4 linked regions of the Saccharomyces cerevisiae S288C genome follow. The gene in region 4 interacts genetically with the main gene of each other region. Each region holds a gene or a part of one and is shown on either strand. Other genes may lie near its edges.

What was found.
Region 1: mutations in LAP2 (region 4) and ULS1 together harm fitness less than expected from each alone (positive genetic interaction), as found in Saccharomyces cerevisiae (one large-scale study listed by BioGRID).
Region 2: mutations in LAP2 (region 4) and AAD3 together harm fitness less than expected from each alone (positive genetic interaction), as found in Saccharomyces cerevisiae (one large-scale study listed by BioGRID).
Region 3: mutations in LAP2 (region 4) and YDR061W together harm fitness more than expected from each alone (negative genetic interaction), as found in Saccharomyces cerevisiae (one large-scale study listed by BioGRID).

The regions. Positions count from the first base shown.
Region 1 is NC_001147.6:690,651-697,885, reverse strand, and holds ULS1 (translocase ULS1), read right to left. Parts: upstream 5,412-7,235; coding exon 552-5,411; downstream 1-551. Other genes in the region: SPR1 (glucan 1,3-beta-glucosidase), read right to left, coding at 5,854-7,191. UniProt on the Saccharomyces cerevisiae protein: ATP-dependent helicase involved mating type switching and in silencing interference through its interaction with the silencing regulator SIR4. Cooperates with UBC4 and UBC5 to mediate ubiquitination of SUMO conjugates.
Region 2 is NC_001135.5:311,857-315,492, forward strand, and holds AAD3 (putative aryl-alcohol dehydrogenase), read left to right. Parts: upstream 1-2,033; coding exon 2,034-3,125; downstream 3,126-3,636. Other genes in the region: RDS1 (Rds1p), read left to right, coding at 1-1,600.
Region 3 is NC_001136.10:572,493-576,294, reverse strand, and holds YDR061W (uncharacterized protein), read right to left. Parts: upstream 2,132-3,802; coding exon 512-2,131; downstream 1-511. Other genes in the region: RNA-binding ribosome biosynthesis protein MAK21, read right to left, coding at 2,569-3,802.
Region 4 is NC_001146.8:541,327-545,524, reverse strand, and holds LAP2 (bifunctional aminopeptidase/epoxide hydrolase), read right to left. Parts: upstream 2,563-4,198; coding exon 547-2,562; downstream 1-546. Other genes in the region: YIP3 (Yip3p), read right to left, coding at 1-154, 234-257; YNL046W (uncharacterized protein), read right to left, coding at 2,703-3,221; SLM2 (phosphatidylinositol 4,5-bisphosphate-binding protein), read left to right, coding at 3,644-4,198. UniProt on the Saccharomyces cerevisiae protein: Aminopeptidase that preferentially cleaves di- and tripeptides. Also has low epoxide hydrolase activity (in vitro).

The sequences.
Region 1 (7,235 bases), on a different chromosome or scaffold from region 4:
ACGCTTCTCTTTTATAGGAATATAAGATCAGCTTTGATTATTAATTAATACTGTCATTTAATTGCCAGTTATCATCAAACGGGATATTTTCATCGGTTCATTAATGTATGGTAGCTGTTGCGAGCGTATAATTATACTGGCGTTTGAAGATTACATATATGATGAGAAACAAAAATCAAATTTAGTAACAACTGTTAACGATGCAATAATGAGTTAAAGCAATTAACAGGAGGGGGAAGCAATTATGTTATTCGTGGCATTGTTGATAATCTTTTGTGGATTTCCAAATCCAGGAGACGAGCTTCTTATATTGTATGTTACTAATGGTATTTTCTTTTTCAAAAAGTAATTCAAACGATCATATCAAATTTCGCATATTTCTTATACTTAAAGTAGGGCCGATTTACGGCTTATTTTCTGTTCCATTAAATGCCAAGCTCGTAAGTGCCAACGAGTGAAGTTACTTAAGCCTACAAACTAGAAGCTTAGCCACCAATTATCAACATATACATATGTGTATCGCAATAATGCTTCAAAATTCACCAAGTTCTTCAAAGAGCGTTTAAACCAAATAAAAATCCTAACTCCCGACGCCCTAAACTATTCACTTCCTTTATCTTGCCTGGGTCCATGGCAGAATCGACCATTTCCTTCTTTCTCTTCTGTAATTCAGAAATACGATCCTCAACAGAGTCCTTTATAAACAATTTATGCACCTGGACTTTTTTTGTTTGACTAATTCTATAGCAACGGTCTTGAGCTTGTTCTTCGACGTAAGGATTCCAAAATGGATCAACTATAACTACATGGTTCGCACATGTCAATGTTAGTCCTGAGTTACCGGCTTTCATGGAAATCAGAAGTATCCTTTTCTCAGGGTCACGATAAAATTCGTTGATAACATCTGATCTTCTCTGAGCGTTCATTGATCCAATATATTTCAAGTAGGGAAAATTCAGTTTATTTTTGAGAAAATGTTCGAGAATCTCAAAAAATGTTGTAAACTGGGAAAAAATAATAATTTTTTCGGTTGCTGATTCATCAAAAACTCTTTGAATAACCTGTATACATTGCTCTATCTTCGTAGATGGTTCTAAACTCTCAAAATTTGGCACATATACATTTTTTTGCTGTATTTTTTGTTTCTCCATTTCACTTAAATACTCTGCATGCAAATCTTCCTCAGTAAATCCCTGGTTTATTACCTGGTCGTATAACTTGTGCGAAACAATATCTTTCTCGTTTGTCAAACGTTGACAATCTTTGCATGGGATAGCAAATGCCCCACCTTTGGTTTTCTTGGCCTGAGGTAGCATGGATGACTCTTCGATGAAGGGCTCGATACAAGTGTCGCAAATCAAATGACCACAACCTGTCAGAACGGACATCGCTTCTGGTTCTAATTGTTCCATGCACCAGAAACATGTCATAGAATTCATTGAAGTAATAACCTGAGCCTGCGCTTCTCCGCTCATGTGAGTGATTTTATAGTAGAGCCTGAGCCAGTCATCTTCAAAGCTTTTGCCGTTAGCTACCTTTGTACCTTCCGCTTTTTTTTCTCCCATCACAACTAATTCTGAATGACAACAAGCCTGCCTTAAGCGAAGTAGTAATGTGAGAACGCTAGAGTAGCTCCCCCTCGTAGAATTGTTCAACAATTTCTTAGCGAGTGCTTGATTTTTTGATTCCAAAGCTGTGTAAAATTTTAATTCCTCTCCCTTCAGGCGTGATTCATCTACTTCCACAATTTTAGGAGGGAGCTCCAGTAAAGGTTTGCCGTCGATCTTATCAGCCTTAGACCGACGAAGCATAATGGCATTTAGAAGGACTCTAACCTTTCTTAATGCGTTTTTTCTATCCTCGTTATCATATTGATATTGCTTATTTCTCTGAAAAAACCTTCCAATGTCTAATTTAAACCGTTGCTCCTTGTGGTAGGGTGGAATTCTTAGAAATCTTATCAAGGAATAAAGCTCATCCATACTATTTTGAATCGGCGTACCAGACAAGACCCACCTATACATTCCATTTATAGTACAGCACGCTTTAGAAGCCCTTGTATTTTTGTTCTTGATGTTTTGGCCTTCGTCCAGTAAAATTCTGTAAAACGTTGAATCATTGCAGAAAAATGGAGAGTAGTATTCATTTGAGGTTTTCAACCTATTAAGAGCTTGTATATGAGGCACAGCTGGTAGCTGATTTTGTTCACCATCCAGTTTTTTCGGCCAATGTTTCTTAAATTCGTTTGCTAGAGTTTGATAAGATACCAAAACAGCATCATATCTTGCCAAATCCCTCCAGTGCTTAACTTTTCCGTTACCTGATCCTCCAAAAATAAATGTAGTAAATTTTGCGCGTTTTTTTACTTTCGTTTCTAATTCACCTTTCCAAACTCTCAAGACTGAGACTGGTGCGACGATCAAATTGGTTTTACATTTGGATTCCTCTGAGCGATTTGCTAACATCAATGCAATAGCTTGAATCGTTTTACCCAGGCCCATATCGTCAGCAAGCAGACCCCCTTTTTTTGCGGAGTTTTCAACTTGTAACAACCAATGCAGACCCAGCCTCTGGTGTTTTAATAAGTTTACGGTCATATCCTCGGGAGTAAGTGCTTCGCCGTCTATAATGGATTCAGATTGTTTGACATTCTCTAAAAGAGCCCTAATCTGTTCTTGATCTTCTGCTGCATGCATATTAGAGATGTGAAATTCATCTTGCATCGATAGATCATTGGCTGTAGAACTAGTATCTTCGGTATTTTCCACGATGTTCCAGTTTGAAGGAGGTCGTTGATCTGCGTTTACCGGAAATAAATAGCTTTGCTGCAGTAATTCTTCACTTGTTATTGGAATCTTATATCTTCTCAAATTTTCATATAGTCTGTCCATCTTAAGTCCTTGTTGTCTTAGCCCAACAACAGCTTTTCCGACGCCTTCCCTTTTTAAAGGAGTAGGTGGAAATCCGGTGTCAATATCTTTACGAAATTCTTCAATTATATTCAAAAATCGAGTAATCTTTCGTTTAGCATCCTCTGATCTAGTAGACTTTGATATGAGATCGCGTGCAACTTCGATGCTTTTAAAATATTGGGCTCTTCTGTCAGGATTGACAATGGCTGGATTAGAAAACTTGATGCCGTAATCTTGTAATGTTTCAAAAACAATGGGCATCTTTACACCGTTGGTGAACAATATTTGGGCCGATTCATGTGCAACGTGTCTTCTGTTTATATCTATTAAGGATCTTCCGTCTTCAAAAAAGTTTTTATAAGAGACCAAGTTGTCCAAATGTCTATAAAGAATTCTCTTCGTCATTTCTGTCCTGGATGTGTTCTTGGCTAATAAATCTTTTGCAGTATCAATGGACTTAATAAATAAATCTCTTTTGGCGAGAGGTTGCCGTACTATTGGCAATACACTATTGATATCAGTTGTGCGTTGGTCCCCCAGTTTCAAGTCATTCAGTTTCTGCTGGATCTCCCCTGTTAACTGCTTGTAGGTACTGAAGCTTAGGGTTCCTTCTTTTAACATTTGGTCTAGCTTTTCTTTCTCAGCCAGGCATTCGTTTCTTTTATTTACGGTCGCAGAAGCTTTACTATCCCTGGCTGACCGCTCAAGGGCAGCCAAAGATTTCTGCAGGTTTATATTTTTCGAATGCACAAAGGACTTCCATTGTTCGTTATAATTATACATTTTCAAATTGATTGAATCTAGCTTCGATTTTGTCAACTGTCTTTTTTCCTTCAGTTTGTTTAATTGGTTCTCAGCTTCATCAACTAATATCTGCTGAGTTGAGCTGATAGTTCTTCCCCCTCTAGCCATCGATGTCAACAATAACTGCCAATGTTTTTCAGCATCAGAGACCTCCTTTTCTCTTCTACTTAGTTTCCTTCTTAAAATTTCAGAGTTTGTCTTGCAGCAACTGAGAGCATTACGTAGTTCAGACTCTCTAGAATTCAAATCCTTCAATAATTTTTGATGATTTTTTTTTAGAGTATCAAGTGAACTGTTACATTCGTGTTGAGAGGATTGAGTAGCTTGTTCTGTCATGATAGTTCCTTGAAGAACTGACGAACTCGAGGATTGTGCGTCTGTTTCTGATGTAGGAATTGAATTGCTGCCACTTGCTTCTTTTATTACTGAGTTATTCAAGTCAATATTGGGTAGGTCAAGTAAAGATATGACTTCTGGTACACTGCTCCTAAGCGCATCAGCTGTATTTGGTTCAGAAACTTTCAAAGGACTTTCTATATCATTGATACCGGCACCAGATTCGTCCTCATCTGAAAGAATAATAATCGAGCTATTTTTCTGTTCGGAATCATGTGAATTATGTGTTGTGTGGTCCATATTTTTTGAGGGCAATATCGGTCTTTTAAGTATCTTGTTATCTGCAAAATCTCCGCTATGCTTCCTTTTAATCTTACGACCAAAATCGCTAATATCGACAGGTTGTTCACTAAAGTGCTTGAATAGTTCACTTTGTTCTTGCTCAAGTAAGGCAACATTATTTTGAAGTCCTGGAAGACGAACGGTCGTCTTCCCCTCTACTTTGGCCGTCTCGTTTTTAAGGGAACTCTCAACAGAGCTTAGATTGGACGGTAATGCTGGCGTTCGCTTTTCATTTACGATGTTAGGTATAGTGTTTTTGGAGTTATTTTGAGTTTCAGAATCCTGGAAAGCACTAGATTCAATAGGTAAATCACGATAACTTGTTGTTGTGACTCCTTTTATTTGGTCTTTGTTTTCGCTCTTCAAACTGTTATCTTTTGTTTCTGGGTCGCTGAACTGTTGCTGTGACGGTTTGTTATTCAAGTTTAACTTCTCCTCTTGAAAATCCAAATTGCTGTCCTGGCAAGTATTAGGCTCGAAATCATCTTCAACGCCATCGTAGTCTTTGGAGACGTATGAGGAAGAAATGCCACAGATATTTTCCTTCACTTGCTCATCCTGATTTATTCTTTTACCTTCCTCTTTTTGTTTAAAACTATCGGATAACGGCACATCATCGTTTTCATAAAAAAGTTTTATCATCTCTGCGCTTGGGCTGCTCTCTTGTGTTTTCTTCTCATCGTTGGAAGATCCCATCGTTTCTTCCTTCAAGACTTGCTGCTGTTTTACTTCGTTGGAAGATTTTTCATTGTTGAAGGTACTGTCTGTGATTGTCTTGCTCTTTGAAAGAATAGTATCGAAGGTTTCATTATTTGATATGTTCGTCTTGAAAACATGGAATGCTTGACGTGCTGCATCGTCATTAGATTGGGCGACTTCCAAGCCTGCCATTCTTAATTTCCCATTTTCTTTCCTAATGTCTATCTTATCCACACTTGTTGAAGACGAAAAAGAATGGAATATGTCTTCATTATCTGAATCGGCTAGTGTAAGGTCGATGGTGGGTACTGCTGCCATTTGACAGATGTTTAACCTAAAGATATAGTCCAGCGTCTCCTTTCAAGCACTCAAAAGATAGATGTAAAAATCGGTATAGACGCCCTGTCCTGTTCTTTCATAAAACTGCGGAGAGGTTTGTATTTATTTATTGTTTTTCTTCCTCTCATATTCGTTACATAGTCTAAGTAAACTGTCCGGTAATATCGAGAGTGACCCGTGTCTCGTGCTTCTCTTCCGCCTCACGTAATATCAACAGGTAATCATCATGAGCTCCCCATTCATAGTTCAGATAAAAAGTGAAGTAGCGGTTGATGGAAGCACTTTTATTTGCATAATTATAAGATATAAAGTATTTTTTATTTGTATACCTCATCATGTTATATAAAGAGTTTTAGATGGCAATTTTTTCTCCAATAATAATCATCACATTCCCAAGACCTTAAATATATGCCACAAAATTTCAATGACATTGGTTAGGATATTTCCTATCGTTGATAGGTTGCGGAAAAATGTTGAGTTGAATCAATTTTTCAACATCCCATTCGATACTATTCTCTGTCTTGTAACACCACATTATCCATCCACCAGTCATTTCAAAAGCATCTAATTGAGCCTCGATAAACTTTCTAGTGTTCTGTTTTCTCTCTTCGGGCCACAAGGCAATATTCTCGTTGTTTGCACACGTATTTATGTAATGAGATTTTTCATTGTCTTTGGTCCAACTTCCATCATATCTGGCACCTAGACCAACCCCATTTAACCACTTTGTACAATCTGTTAAGGCCGCTGAAAATTCGCCTGCTACGGACCAATGCTTCTCGCTTACGGCATCTTTCCCCCATTGGCAGGCGATTTTGATACGTTCATTCATTTTTCTTGTTAATTCCACCTGCGAGAACACCTGATAATGATGATGGTCAATTATGACGCCATATTCGTTCTTTTCATCATTCAAAAACCCATCCCAATAATGGTAAGGTTGAAAAGCATCATGTATTACAATGATCTGGTTGCTATTAATTTTATTTCTCAAATAGTCATAAGCCGGCTTCAAAAGCAAATTTTTCAATCTTTCCATGTCAATAACTGGACCTAACGGTTCATTGAGCAATTCGATTCCAATAACGGTGTCCAGGTATACGTCTGTTGAGTATTTGCTTAAAATATACGTTAAAGCTTTCATGGTGGCGCTTAAATTTTCATCTTCCAGAAACTTATATGAATCCCTCAACCCTGAGTTATCAAATCCGTTTTGTGAACCAGCGGCTCCATGAAGATCAATCCATACTTTCAAACCATATTTCCTAGCCCAATCGATAGCCCGGTCTAGAAAATATTCCTGCTCGGCGGTAACATAGGGATCATGACTCAACGTTGTAAAGGCCCAATACCCAATAGGAATTCTAACCAAATTGAAGCCTTGAGAAGCAATTTTCGCGAAGTCTTCCTCTTTATAGAACGTCGACCAATGACTATAAAGGCGTTCCTTTGCCTTTTCATAGCCTAATTTTTCACAAAAATGGTATTCATCAACAGGAATACCGTCATCGTTGTACGGATTAGTACGGAAAGTCTCGAATAAAGAAGGTGTAATATACGGCTCCAATACTAGCCACCCACCCAAATTGACTCCATGAATTTTTTCATTGATGGCTTGATTGTTGATGGCAGAGTATATACTATCCTTTTCTTTATAAATAAACTGTATAGAGTCCCTATTTTTTGTGGAAACAGGATTACAGTTTACTAATTTGGTAAAAAGTAGTGTTAGTGTAGTCAGCCCTCTGAACGAAACCATTTACTTCTAAAGTTTATAAAGATTTTATGCGGAGCACCTCAGTC
Region 2 (3,636 bases), on a different chromosome or scaffold from region 4:
TTCAATGGTAAAAGAAAATGCCTCCGAAAGTGCCAGGAAACTTTCTCTTTTATGTCATAAACTATTATGCCTCCTGGATGTATTTCGCTATCCAAATGAGAACACTTTTACTTGCCTTTTATATTTCTACGTTTCAGAGCATTTAGATCCCGAGAGTCCCGATTGTGTACTGAGCCCCACTAACTTGCTTACTCTGCACCATCTTTTAAATTTGTCCATGACCTTAGGTCTTCAATATGAGCCTTCGAAGTACAAACGTTTCAAAGATCCAGAAGTGATAAGGCAGAGACGGATATTATGGTTAGGAGTTCAGTCATTACTTTTTCAAATTTCTCTTGCTGAAGGTGATGCTGGTAAATCAAATAGTGAATATATGGAGGCATATTTAACAGACTTCGAAGAATATATTGAAGCTTCCTCAGAGTATGAAAAAAGTTCTGCGAGTGAATCGAACGTGCAAATGAATGATATTGTTTGGAATAAGTACAAATTTCACGTCATTTTGAGTAAACTAATGTCTGATTGCACTTCAGTTATACAACATCCGCAGCTTTTCCACATTTTAGGAAATATTAAAAGATCTGAAGATTTTATGGCTGAGAACTTTCCTACAAGTTCGATTTACCAACCCCTTCATGAAAAGGAACCAAATGCGATCAAAGTTGGCAAAAGTACGGTTCTCGATGTCATGGATATTCAAAAAACTGAAATATTTCTTACAAATATTGTGGGAAGTATGTGTTTTTTAAACATTTTTGATGTCCTATCGTTACATTTTGAAAAAAAATGTGTTATGCACTGGGAAGAATATGAAAAGAACTATCATTTCCTTACTTTGAAAAGTTTCAATGCATACTTAAAGCTAGCAGGGTTGATATCTGATTATCTCGAGAATAAGTTTCAAGGGAACATTTTAGAGAGTCGCGGTTATATCATAGATAAACAAATATGTTTTATGCTTGTAAGGATCTGGATGTTCCAATGTCGTATTTTGTTAAGGTTTTCATACAAGCAAGAAAGTCAGAAAAAATTGGCCTCTTCCAGTATATCCACTAACGATAATGAAAAAGAAGATGAAATGATTGTCATTTTAGAAAGACTTATTAAACACATTCGTAACCAAATGGCACATTTAGTGGATCTAGCAAAGGGAAAACTTCAAGATAGTTACTTTGGTGCTTACCAAACTGTTCCCATGTTTAGATACGTTGTGTATTTGATCGATGTTGGCGGCTTAGTATCTGTGACAAATGGGTTTTGGGATAAGATTTCCAGTGATGGTGAAATACCGCCAAAAGTACAACAAGCCGTGAGATTGAAATGGGGATTGGACTGCAATAATTCGAGAAGAATCAAACAAAAGTTAATAAGCAGCCAGAGTTTGCAGAGTTTCAATCAAGTTCTGTTGTGCCAGATGGAGGATGCAGTTCTCTCCAGTTCCTTCGCAATAAAAGCCAATACCGCTATGTCCCAAAACACGGCTGAAGAATTTTTCAATATCAGCGAAGAAGAGGCTTTAAATCAACTATTGGAAAACAACAATTTTGATGCCTTCTGGGATTTATTAGGTGAAAATCTGAGCGATATGCCTTCTTTGTGAGAATACGGATATTTGGAAAGGCTAAAAAAAAAAAAACAAGCCAAAAACAAGAAACACTGTTATCCTCCACGTTTTTTCCACTGTTTTAAGACTCGACAAGACGGAAAGATTCCTCACATTTCGCAGTGTTTCTTTTAACCTGCTCGTCAATTTGAAAAAATGAGCATGGTTAGGCAGGCGGAATGTAATAGGTGCGGTGCGTATAAATAAGTATCTCGGCCGTTCCTCTATTGCGCTCGGCCGAGATGTCCTACATGCATAAAATAGATTAAAAAAAGGGATCACGATACTCAAATATGCATATAATAACAACAACACACTTTGCGGTAAATAGAAGGATAATATCGTAATCTTTTGCTGGTTTCGATGATGACTTGAAAAAATTCAATTACTCTTTCGATCATCTAGAAGAAGCATATCCATCGTGCTTAAAATGATTGGGTCCGCGTCCGACTCATCTAGCAAGTTAGGACGCCTCCGATTTCTTTCTGAAACTGCCGCTATTAAAGTATCCCCGTTAATCCTAGGAGAAGTCTCATACGATGGAGCACGTTCGGATTTTCTCAAATCAATGAACAAGAATCGAGCTTTTGAATTGCTTGATACTTTTTACGAGGCAGGTGGAAATTTCATTGATGCCGCAAACAACTGCCAAAACGAGCAATCAGAAGAATGGATTGGTGAATGGATACAGTCCAGAAGGTTACGTGATCAAATTGTCATTGCAACCAAGTTTATAAAAAGCGATAAAAAGTATAAAGCAGGTGAAAGTAACACTGCCAACTACTGTGGTAATCACAAGCGTAGTTTACATGTGAGTGTGAGGGATTCTCTCCGCAAATTGCAAACTGATTGGATTGATATACTTTACGTTCACTGGTGGGATTATATGAGTTCAATCGAAGAATTTATGGATAGTTTGCATATTCTGGTCCAGCAGGGCAAGGTCCTCTATTTGGGTGTATCTGATACACCTGCTTGGGTTGTTTCTGCGGCAAACTACTACGCTACATCTTATGGTAAAACTCCCTTTAGTATCTACCAAGGTAAATGGAACGTGTTGAACAGAGATTTTGAGCGTGATATTATTCCAATGGCTAGGCATTTCGGTATGGCCCTCGCCCCATGGGATGTCATGGGAGGTGGAAGATTTCAGAGTAAAAAAGCAATGGAGGAACGGAGGAAGAATGGAGAGGGTATTCGTTCTTTCGTTGGCGCCTCCGAACAAACAGATGCAGAAATCAAGATTAGTGAAGCATTGGCCAAGATTGCTGAGGAACATGGCACTGAGTCTGTTACTGCTATTGCTATTGCCTATGTTCGCTCTAAGGCGAAAAATTTTTTTCCGTCGGTTGAAGGAGGAAAAATTGAGGATCTCAAAGAGAACATTAAGGCTCTCAGTATCGATCTAACGCCAGACAATATAAAATACTTAGAAAGTATAGTTCCTTTTGACATCGGATTTCCTAATAATTTTATCGTGTTAAATTCCTTGACTCAAAAATATGGTACGAATAATGTTTAGATAATTTTTCAGTAATCAACTACGCAAGTAAAGCAGTAAATACGTTACTGCTGGTATTAATGTCATGTATTGAGGCAATGATGCTATGCTCTTAACGACATGTAGCTTACAAAACGTTCCTATGGTTTTACTGCATGGTATTTACAAATTAGATAGCAGTTCCATCCGCCCTTGACATATTATTATTCAGACAAGGTGTATATGAGCATAAATATGTATATATGCACATGAGGTTTGTATTAACCTTGCAACTGTACCAAAATACAATCTTCTTTGCTGCTATTTAACGGCGTATGTGCAGTTCATAAATGCGTGTTCTGTATAGTACATCCGCGCACATTCTTCCTAGCGGAAGACATATTAACGTAGCCCGTACGCCCTGGTTAAGACTTGGTATAGTTCCAATAATTGGAATATTACTGCATAGTGGTCCAATAGCAGGATTTAGCATAAACATGATAATATTTAGAGATGCTTTCATCCCTCTGACGAAGGTGGTAGAGAACAAGAA
Region 3 (3,802 bases), on a different chromosome or scaffold from region 4:
AGAAAATAGTAATGAAACTTACGGGCACTGATTGTTGTCTTTTATTTCGATGTAGAGCTGTTTTTCGTGGCAACGTTAAAACACCTTCCACGGATTCGCTCCTAGTGAATGGTAAGAACGCTTTCTAATGAATAATCCCTCCGTTAAATTCAAAAGAGATTTTTCTTATGAGATTGATAATATCGTATACTATCCGTATAATCACCTTAATTTTACGTTTCAGCACGGTTGAATTGTGCAGGTATTAACATAGCATAAATTTTTTTTTTGGGAATTTGTCGTAGAGAAAAGGAGATGATGTTACACCCAATCACCGCGCTTCGCCTCTGCCTAAAGCATGGATAGTCCATTTAGCTGAAGTCGTTCCCGCTAACTGGCTATGATATAGAAGTAATTGTTTTGTAGTATAACAGATATACGATATTTGCGTAGCTTTTTATGTACATGTACTATTATATACGTATGTCAAATTATCGAGGTTCTGTCTCTTGCTGCCACACAACAGAAAACTTTAATTTTCCATATCGCCTATTTCATACTCTCCAGGAGATATGAGCCTTAAGTAATGGGCACATTTTGGTGTCTCTTCGGCAACGTGTGCCACTACAAGGACTGTTCCAGGCCACTCCTCTAAAAATTCATGACAACGCATCATAGGTTCTACCTCCATTCCAGAAAATGCCTCATCGAGAATCAATATTTGCGGCATCTTAATTAAAGACCTGACAAAAAGGACTAGTTTCTGGTCACTTACGGACAACTGTTCAAATAAAACACTATCGGCGTCTTTGTCCAGGCCAAAATATTTCAGATACATATTCACTATTTCTTGGCTATTTTTGTCCAAGCGCTTCCATATGGGTAGGTAATTGTTGGAGGACGCCTCATGATAGCCAGTTGCAACACTTTCCCGAATGTTTAGCCTTCCTCCAGCATTCTTCAAAAAAATTGCGTGTAATTCGGGTGATGACATACCTATTTTGCTGTTTAGGTCAAAGTAGTTTGTTTTACCTGTTCTTCGTGGGACGCCATTATCTATCACCCTCGAATTCCACGATTGGGGATGTTCCGCCGTAAGCAAAGATAATAAGGTCGACTTACCTGACCCATTGTCACCTCTTATATGCCATTTCGAACCCGGCTGAACTTTCCAGTGCAGATTTTCCAAAACAGCTTCGCCTTTGTATGAAACGCTCAACCCGTCTAATTCTATAAGATGAGGCATTTTGATAATTTCGTGCTCTTTCTTGCCATACATAGGATGTATACAAATCAAATCGTTAATGGAAATGTCCTCTTTGGAATTAGACGCTTTTTTGAGCTGCTCTAGTTCTTTTAGTGCCCTTGATCTGGTTTCATCCATTTTACTTTGAAGTTTTTCGATTGGGCCTTCAAACAATATACCGTTTTTCTCATCAACGCAACATATATGAGTACACCATGCTGGAATGGTATCTTGATACCTCAAACCAATGACGATTGGACATCCGCCACTGACTTCTATACTATCATATTTGGCTAAAAATTGTGAAATGGTTGCTATTGCGGCTGGATCCAACCCTAAAAATGGGTCGTCAATAAGTAGTAGATCCGGTTCCTTGAGTATACTACGAGCTAACCTTGCTCTCCTCATTTGTCCATTACTCAATCCCATTACCCACCTATCCTGTAAACTGGAGAGGTTTAAATTTTCAACTAATGCATTGTACAGCTCCATGTTTATTTGCCGATTGTTCGTCTCAACTTTATATGAAACAGCATTTGATCCGCTTGCCTTATCAAATATAAACTGTTTGCAGGTTTGATCGTAGTCATCTTTGAAGTATTCATATCTAGCACTTAAATGAGCCGTTGGCATAACCCCTTTGAAGGCCACTTGCTCTATCCTCGGCAGGATGTTCGAACTTTCCTTCAAAAATCCAAACCTCAAAGATAATGGGGGCTCACAAATATACTTGTTATTCAGTACATCCAAGAACTTGCCCTTTCCAGGTCCCCATATAACCCATTTTTCGTTGGGTAAAATCTCGAAATGCCTAATCCTCTTAGGGTAAACAGGTGGACTGTTGCTAGCCAGTGATGACTTGAAGAGCGCATTCGTTATTCGTACAACGAACTTATTGGTACTCATAATTAAAAAATCTTTCACAGAATATTAATCAAGTATTCACAAATTTGTTTTGCTTACTGCAATTAGCTAACAGAAAATTGTCGCTACAAATGTGCCTATATAAACAAAATGGTTAAAAATGAGTTCTGGATTATTTATTTCTAATAGGAGTCACGTGGTTCCATCGTTTTTAGTTTCGTCTCACGATGTCAGCAATCTCGGCGATTTCAACTGACATAGTTGTAGCTAAAATCCGTTTCTATTTCCGCATTACTCTTTTTCCGTTTACTCCCGCTCTAATAATGTTGAAAAGCGGACATAAGTAGAGTTATCAGCAAAACTCTGATATGCGTCTTTCGCTTCAAGGTTTCGTATTGGACCGTTTTTTATTGTACAAAATTCTGTTTTCCTTATTTAATTTACAACACCGAAGTGTTTAGTTAATGTATTATTATTTTCTAGTCTGAATCTTGATCTAAATATTGAGCATAATCGTCGGCAGATGCAAATACCGGTAGACTTTTGAGCATATTCTTTCTCTGCTTCTTCTTTGCTCTTTTTGCGGATACCTCTTTATTTTCTTCTTCTTCTTTTTCTTCTTCGCTGCTCTCGTCCTCTTCACTACTTTCAGCGAAGGAACGTTTTTTATCACTATTGTCTTGTTCTCCATCGAAACTGTAAAAAATATCCTCATCGAGGCCTTCTTCTTGATCGCTTTCTTGGCTGCCTTCACTTTTAGCATCTTCATCATCAATTGCGTCCAGCTTAGGTTCATCGTCACTAGTTGAATCGCTGAAATCATCTTCAGCGAAGTCAAGTTCACTGTCGTCGCTATCATCTTCAACATCTGGTCTCGATTTAACCAAAGCACTCCAAATTTCATTTTCATCCATTTCGTCATCACTATCGAAATTAGATGCTTTGTTAGATTTCTTTCCTTTTCCATCAGCGGTTTTCTTGGTAGTGAAATATTGATAAAAGAATTTATCTTCAGGTTTGATATCTTCAACTTTTTTAGTTAGCCAGTCTTCAGTGTTCACGGGACCCTGGTCATGCATAATATCAGATGCCTTAACTAAGACAGAGTCATTAACTCGTGAGCCACTAAACAGAGGTTGCATAATAGATGTACCTCTTGCTGTATTGGTCTGCTTGGCACTTCTGTAGACAAATCTGTCAAGGAAGTGTGATAGAGTAAATAGACCCAGGTCTGGTTTAGCTATTTGCTCTGTTTCTCCTGTCACATAGGCGTTTGCATATGTTTTCACAGTAGGATGAAAATGATTGATGAAGTTGTTGATTTCCCATAAAGAAGATTTTTCAGCATTGGCGAACTTTGGATCACGCTTGCGGCCGTCGTATTCCTTCCTTTTTATGTCCTTGTCCCCTTGCTCCTCTTCTGCATCAGATTCATACTCGTAATCAACTGGCGTGTTGGTTAGAAGATTTTTTATTTGTGGAACTGTTTTAGCCAACTGGATTAATAAGAAGAAAAAACCAGTAATGGTGCCGACGTTCAACCAATGAGAACAAACTTGAAGAATTCTCTTGACAAAGGCTTCTACTCGTTCAACGTTGAGTGCATCTTGTTTTAATGATTTGTATAGTAAATTCAAGTAAATACCCTGCTTAGAAGAGTTCACCAGTCTGGGGTCAAATAAACTTTCGTATAATGTTCTATAATATCGATCA
Region 4 (4,198 bases):
TGGATTGAACTTCCCCAAAGTTTTGAGGTTTGGAAATTTTCTTGAAATTGAAAAATTCTTGCGGGGTGCGAAGGGTTGCTAATTTAGATTGCAAGGATTGGAACTCGCTCTTAATATTTTCCATGGAGAAGTTTTGAGTGAAACGTGAAACTTGCTATAGAAATATAGAAAAAAGGTTAACGCGTTAGTATAGTTTTTCAATGATGCAAATGTGTTTACAATTTAGAACTTACGGCTAAAGCTCCTAACTGATTCATTATTGGAGTATTTGATGTTATTTTATGCGTATTTGACGGCTGATAGTTCCAAACTCAGTGTTCAAAGCCCTGCAATATTGAATTCAATCTGAATTCTTTCGATTTGTATTTATATTCGTTGTTATTATTTATTTTTTCTTTTTGCCTCGATTGCATGTGACAAAAGTGCAAAATTCGTATCGCACGACACAGAACTCCGCCACTAATTAGAACCAGAGAAGTAGCAATGAAGGCTCATTAGTAGGTTATATTTAATTGTTTACGTATTCATGTTACGACACGTCCCTTTTCAAAGACCTAAATCTTGTTTCACAAGAGCTTTACAGATTGGATGATACGTGTCCTTGAATTTGTCGAAAGTTGCAAGTGCCAATCGACGGTCTACAGAGTTTAATAGTCTGTAACCGGGACGGACAAACTTCATTCTACCTACAGTTCCCAACCAATCGGCCAAATGCTTATATTCTTCTTGCAGCTTGGCAAAGATCTGAAATTTGAACATCTTGAAAACAACTTCCGCGTTCTGTGATTTAACAATGTTATCTTGATAGATATCTAACAGTGCCCTAGATGCCACGGGAAACTTGGCCCAGTCAAAATCTTTTGGTTTCTTGTTGGAATGGCCATTTTGTGTCAAAGTTTCCAAGAACAAAACCAATTGATTTGAATTAAAATCCTTAATGTCAATAGCGTTAAATTCAGACCGGAAATCCTCTGTGGTTTTCAAATGTTGAGCCATTTCGACCCACTTGTCAGCCAATTGATAAACATTATCAGCCAAAGCCGTAATAAAATGAGGCCTTGGTGGCATACCTGGTTTATACAGCCAAGTTTCCCAGTCAACGGAATCCAAAATTTCTTTCTTTTCGGGATAGAACTCATACAAAGTATCCAAAAACTGGAAAGTATCCAATGATTTTTTGGCAAACTTCTTGAAATAGTGTCTAATAAATGGATCAAATTCAGCCTTACCACCCAAAATAGTTTCCAAGTGAAATAGTAAGTTGAACCCCTTTTCGTACGGAACAGTGGAAAAGGCATCGTCAGGGTCAGTGTTATCGTTCAAGTTTTGTACCAAAGTGGAAAATCTTTCAGGATCTTTCATAGAATCAATAGAATTCTGCAAATCGCTCCAACCAATCAGAGCACTGAAATGTCTAGTTGGTTCGCCATGAATGGCACCAATAATTCTTCTTTCTAAGTAAACGGTCCAACCTTCATTCAACCAAAAATGATTCCACGAACAATTGGTCACTAAGTTACCAGACCATGAGTGAGCAAGTTCATGGGCGATGACATCAATGTTGGATCTGTCATGTGCAATCAAGGTGGGCGTAGCAAAAGTCATATTCGGAGACTCCATACCGCCGTAAGGGTACGAATCGACGTTAACTAAGATATCATAAGTGCCCCACTCGTATTCAAAGATAATTTTCTCTGCAGTTTGAATGAATTTCTCTACATCGTTTTCAAATTCCCATTGACAATCTTTCAAACGAAATGGTTCAGTGTAAACTGTGGAACGAGGTCCAATTGGAGCGCTTGACAAATCACCGGAAGCAATACCGATCAGGTAGGCTGGGATAGGGACTTTCTGTTCAAATCTGTAAATATTAGTATCCTTGCTTGTATCTTCAATCCTGATGCCTGAAAAAACCACTGGTAGTGGGGACTCGATAGATGCAGTGAAAGTAGACTTCACAGAGGGAGTATCAAAGCAGGGGAACAAAGACCTCGCATGAATAGCTTCCAACTGTGAAAACACGTACGGTTTACCGCCCTTGGTTTGCTTGCTGTTCAACCATTGCAAAGCGGTGCACTTGTCAGTCGTACGAAATTGAATATTCAAGGTAAAGTTATCGTTGCAAGAAGCGTTATTGATGACTAACCTGGAGCCCAATGGCTCCTTTCTTTGCTCAATTTGAAAATCTGCCTTGGAACCATCAATATGAACCTCCTGGACATCCAAATAGGATGTATCCAGATGTAATTCATCCGATTTATTTTTACCTTCGTGCAGTTTTTTCAATTGGAATGTAACGCTCCCTGAAATGGCTGACTTTTCGAAGGAAACAGACAGGTTTAAATCGGTGTGAAGAACTGCGAAGTCCTTATAATTTGATAAAGTAGACTGATCGTATTCGGGGGAGCGGGAAGGTCTTCTCTGCTCAATTGAAAGAGGCAACATTTTATGAGGGGTGGAAATGTGTATGTTTCTTGAGATTACAGTAAGTAAACCTCGAAATCGAAGCGTGGGCAGGTAAATAGAGCTGGAATGACGAATGACAAATGGAAGCAAGAACATCAATTAGAACACCAAGATAACCTAATACATAAAGCAAACTATACTAAAGTGCGTTTATATAAGTCAAACGAAAAAGTGGAAGAAAAAAAGTGACATGATTTTCCATACGCAATGCCCCCGGAAACTGAAGACGCATTGTGTCAAAAGATGAATGAAAGCCACGACGAAACAGCCGAAAATGGTGACAGGAGAGGGCCAACGAGCCCCGTGAGAAGACCTGTGTAGGGCGTACCCATGAAGGAGGCCCCTATGATTTTCCATTTGGAAACACTCAGGATGTTTTCTGATGACTGGATGATGATGTCCTTGAGGACCAGGAGACAGCCAAAAAATACAATTGAGATCGCGAGCACAACAACCAAAGGCCTTGTGTTGATGTCATAGCGAACATACCTTTCATTGATATGATGCGTAGATGGCGTTACTGACGGTGAGCTGTTGTACATAGAGTTTTTGACTCTCACGCTTTGATTATCCCTAAAATCACCCGGAATTCTGTACTGGGATTCAACCGGCACTGCCTGCTTCTGTACCCTTCTTTTATGCAGCAGCTTCCGCAGTTGGTTAGTGGTTCCGCATTTCTGTGATTTGCTTCCATCTACAGTTGAAGTTTTCCTCTTAAAGAATTGCCCAATTGACCTCTTTGATACGTGCTCCATTAATATCTTGCGCCGAAATTGTCACACTATGCTCACGTATGATTAGTGTATTTATATATGAATAATTCAAATGGCAGGCAGTTTCTTGTTCGAGCCAGCATTGGCGAAAAAAATGCCAAAAGTAGAAGTAAATACGGTAGACACTCCAGCAAGATAAAGCTGCAATATATAACACATCACGGCGATGCTTGTATATTTAGGAGCTCTTACGTCCACCAATGCTAATATATCCTCCTAATGATGGCGCTGATACTGGTAAAAACTCATAATGGTAGTAGTCATTAGCCAATACCTGCCTCTTTTTTCCGGGTCATGCCGCATTCTTTAATCAAAAGGCGATGCAACCTACTACATGAGAAGATGACCGCGCAAGCAAAGGTTTAGGAGAGCGTTATACGCTTTACCCAGCCGTCCATTGCACCATGTCTTACCAACGGAACAGTGCAAGAGCCTCTCTTGACCTCAGAAGTCAATATCAACAACTGGAAGGCAGAATGAGGTCAGAACATTTTAATCCCGCCTATCAACAGCAGCAACAAAAAGGCCAGAACATACCCCTGTCACTACCCTCGTCGCTTGCGCAACGCAATCCTATACCTTACCCTATCGACGCTGTGACTTCCGATCCCACTATCCCGGCTCAGTTGAACGTATATGATCACGATCGGCAAAATTCGATAGTCGATGCTGCGGCTGGCACCAATACGACGCACTCTTTGAACTCTAATAATATTCCATCATCACAAAATAATAATATTAATAATAACAATATCAATAATGTTGGTTCCTTCACTGACCCTTCCATGCTAACGCTGCCAAAAATGTCTTTACATAGCCACCAGAAGCAGTATGATTCTAACCAAAACGATCCTAGGTCCCCTCTGGCGATACTGATACCGACTTCTGCGCAGCCCACTGATGTCTTGTCTGCTAGGTTTTCTGCCTGGAGAAATGTTATTCGTGCCATCTTGGTATAT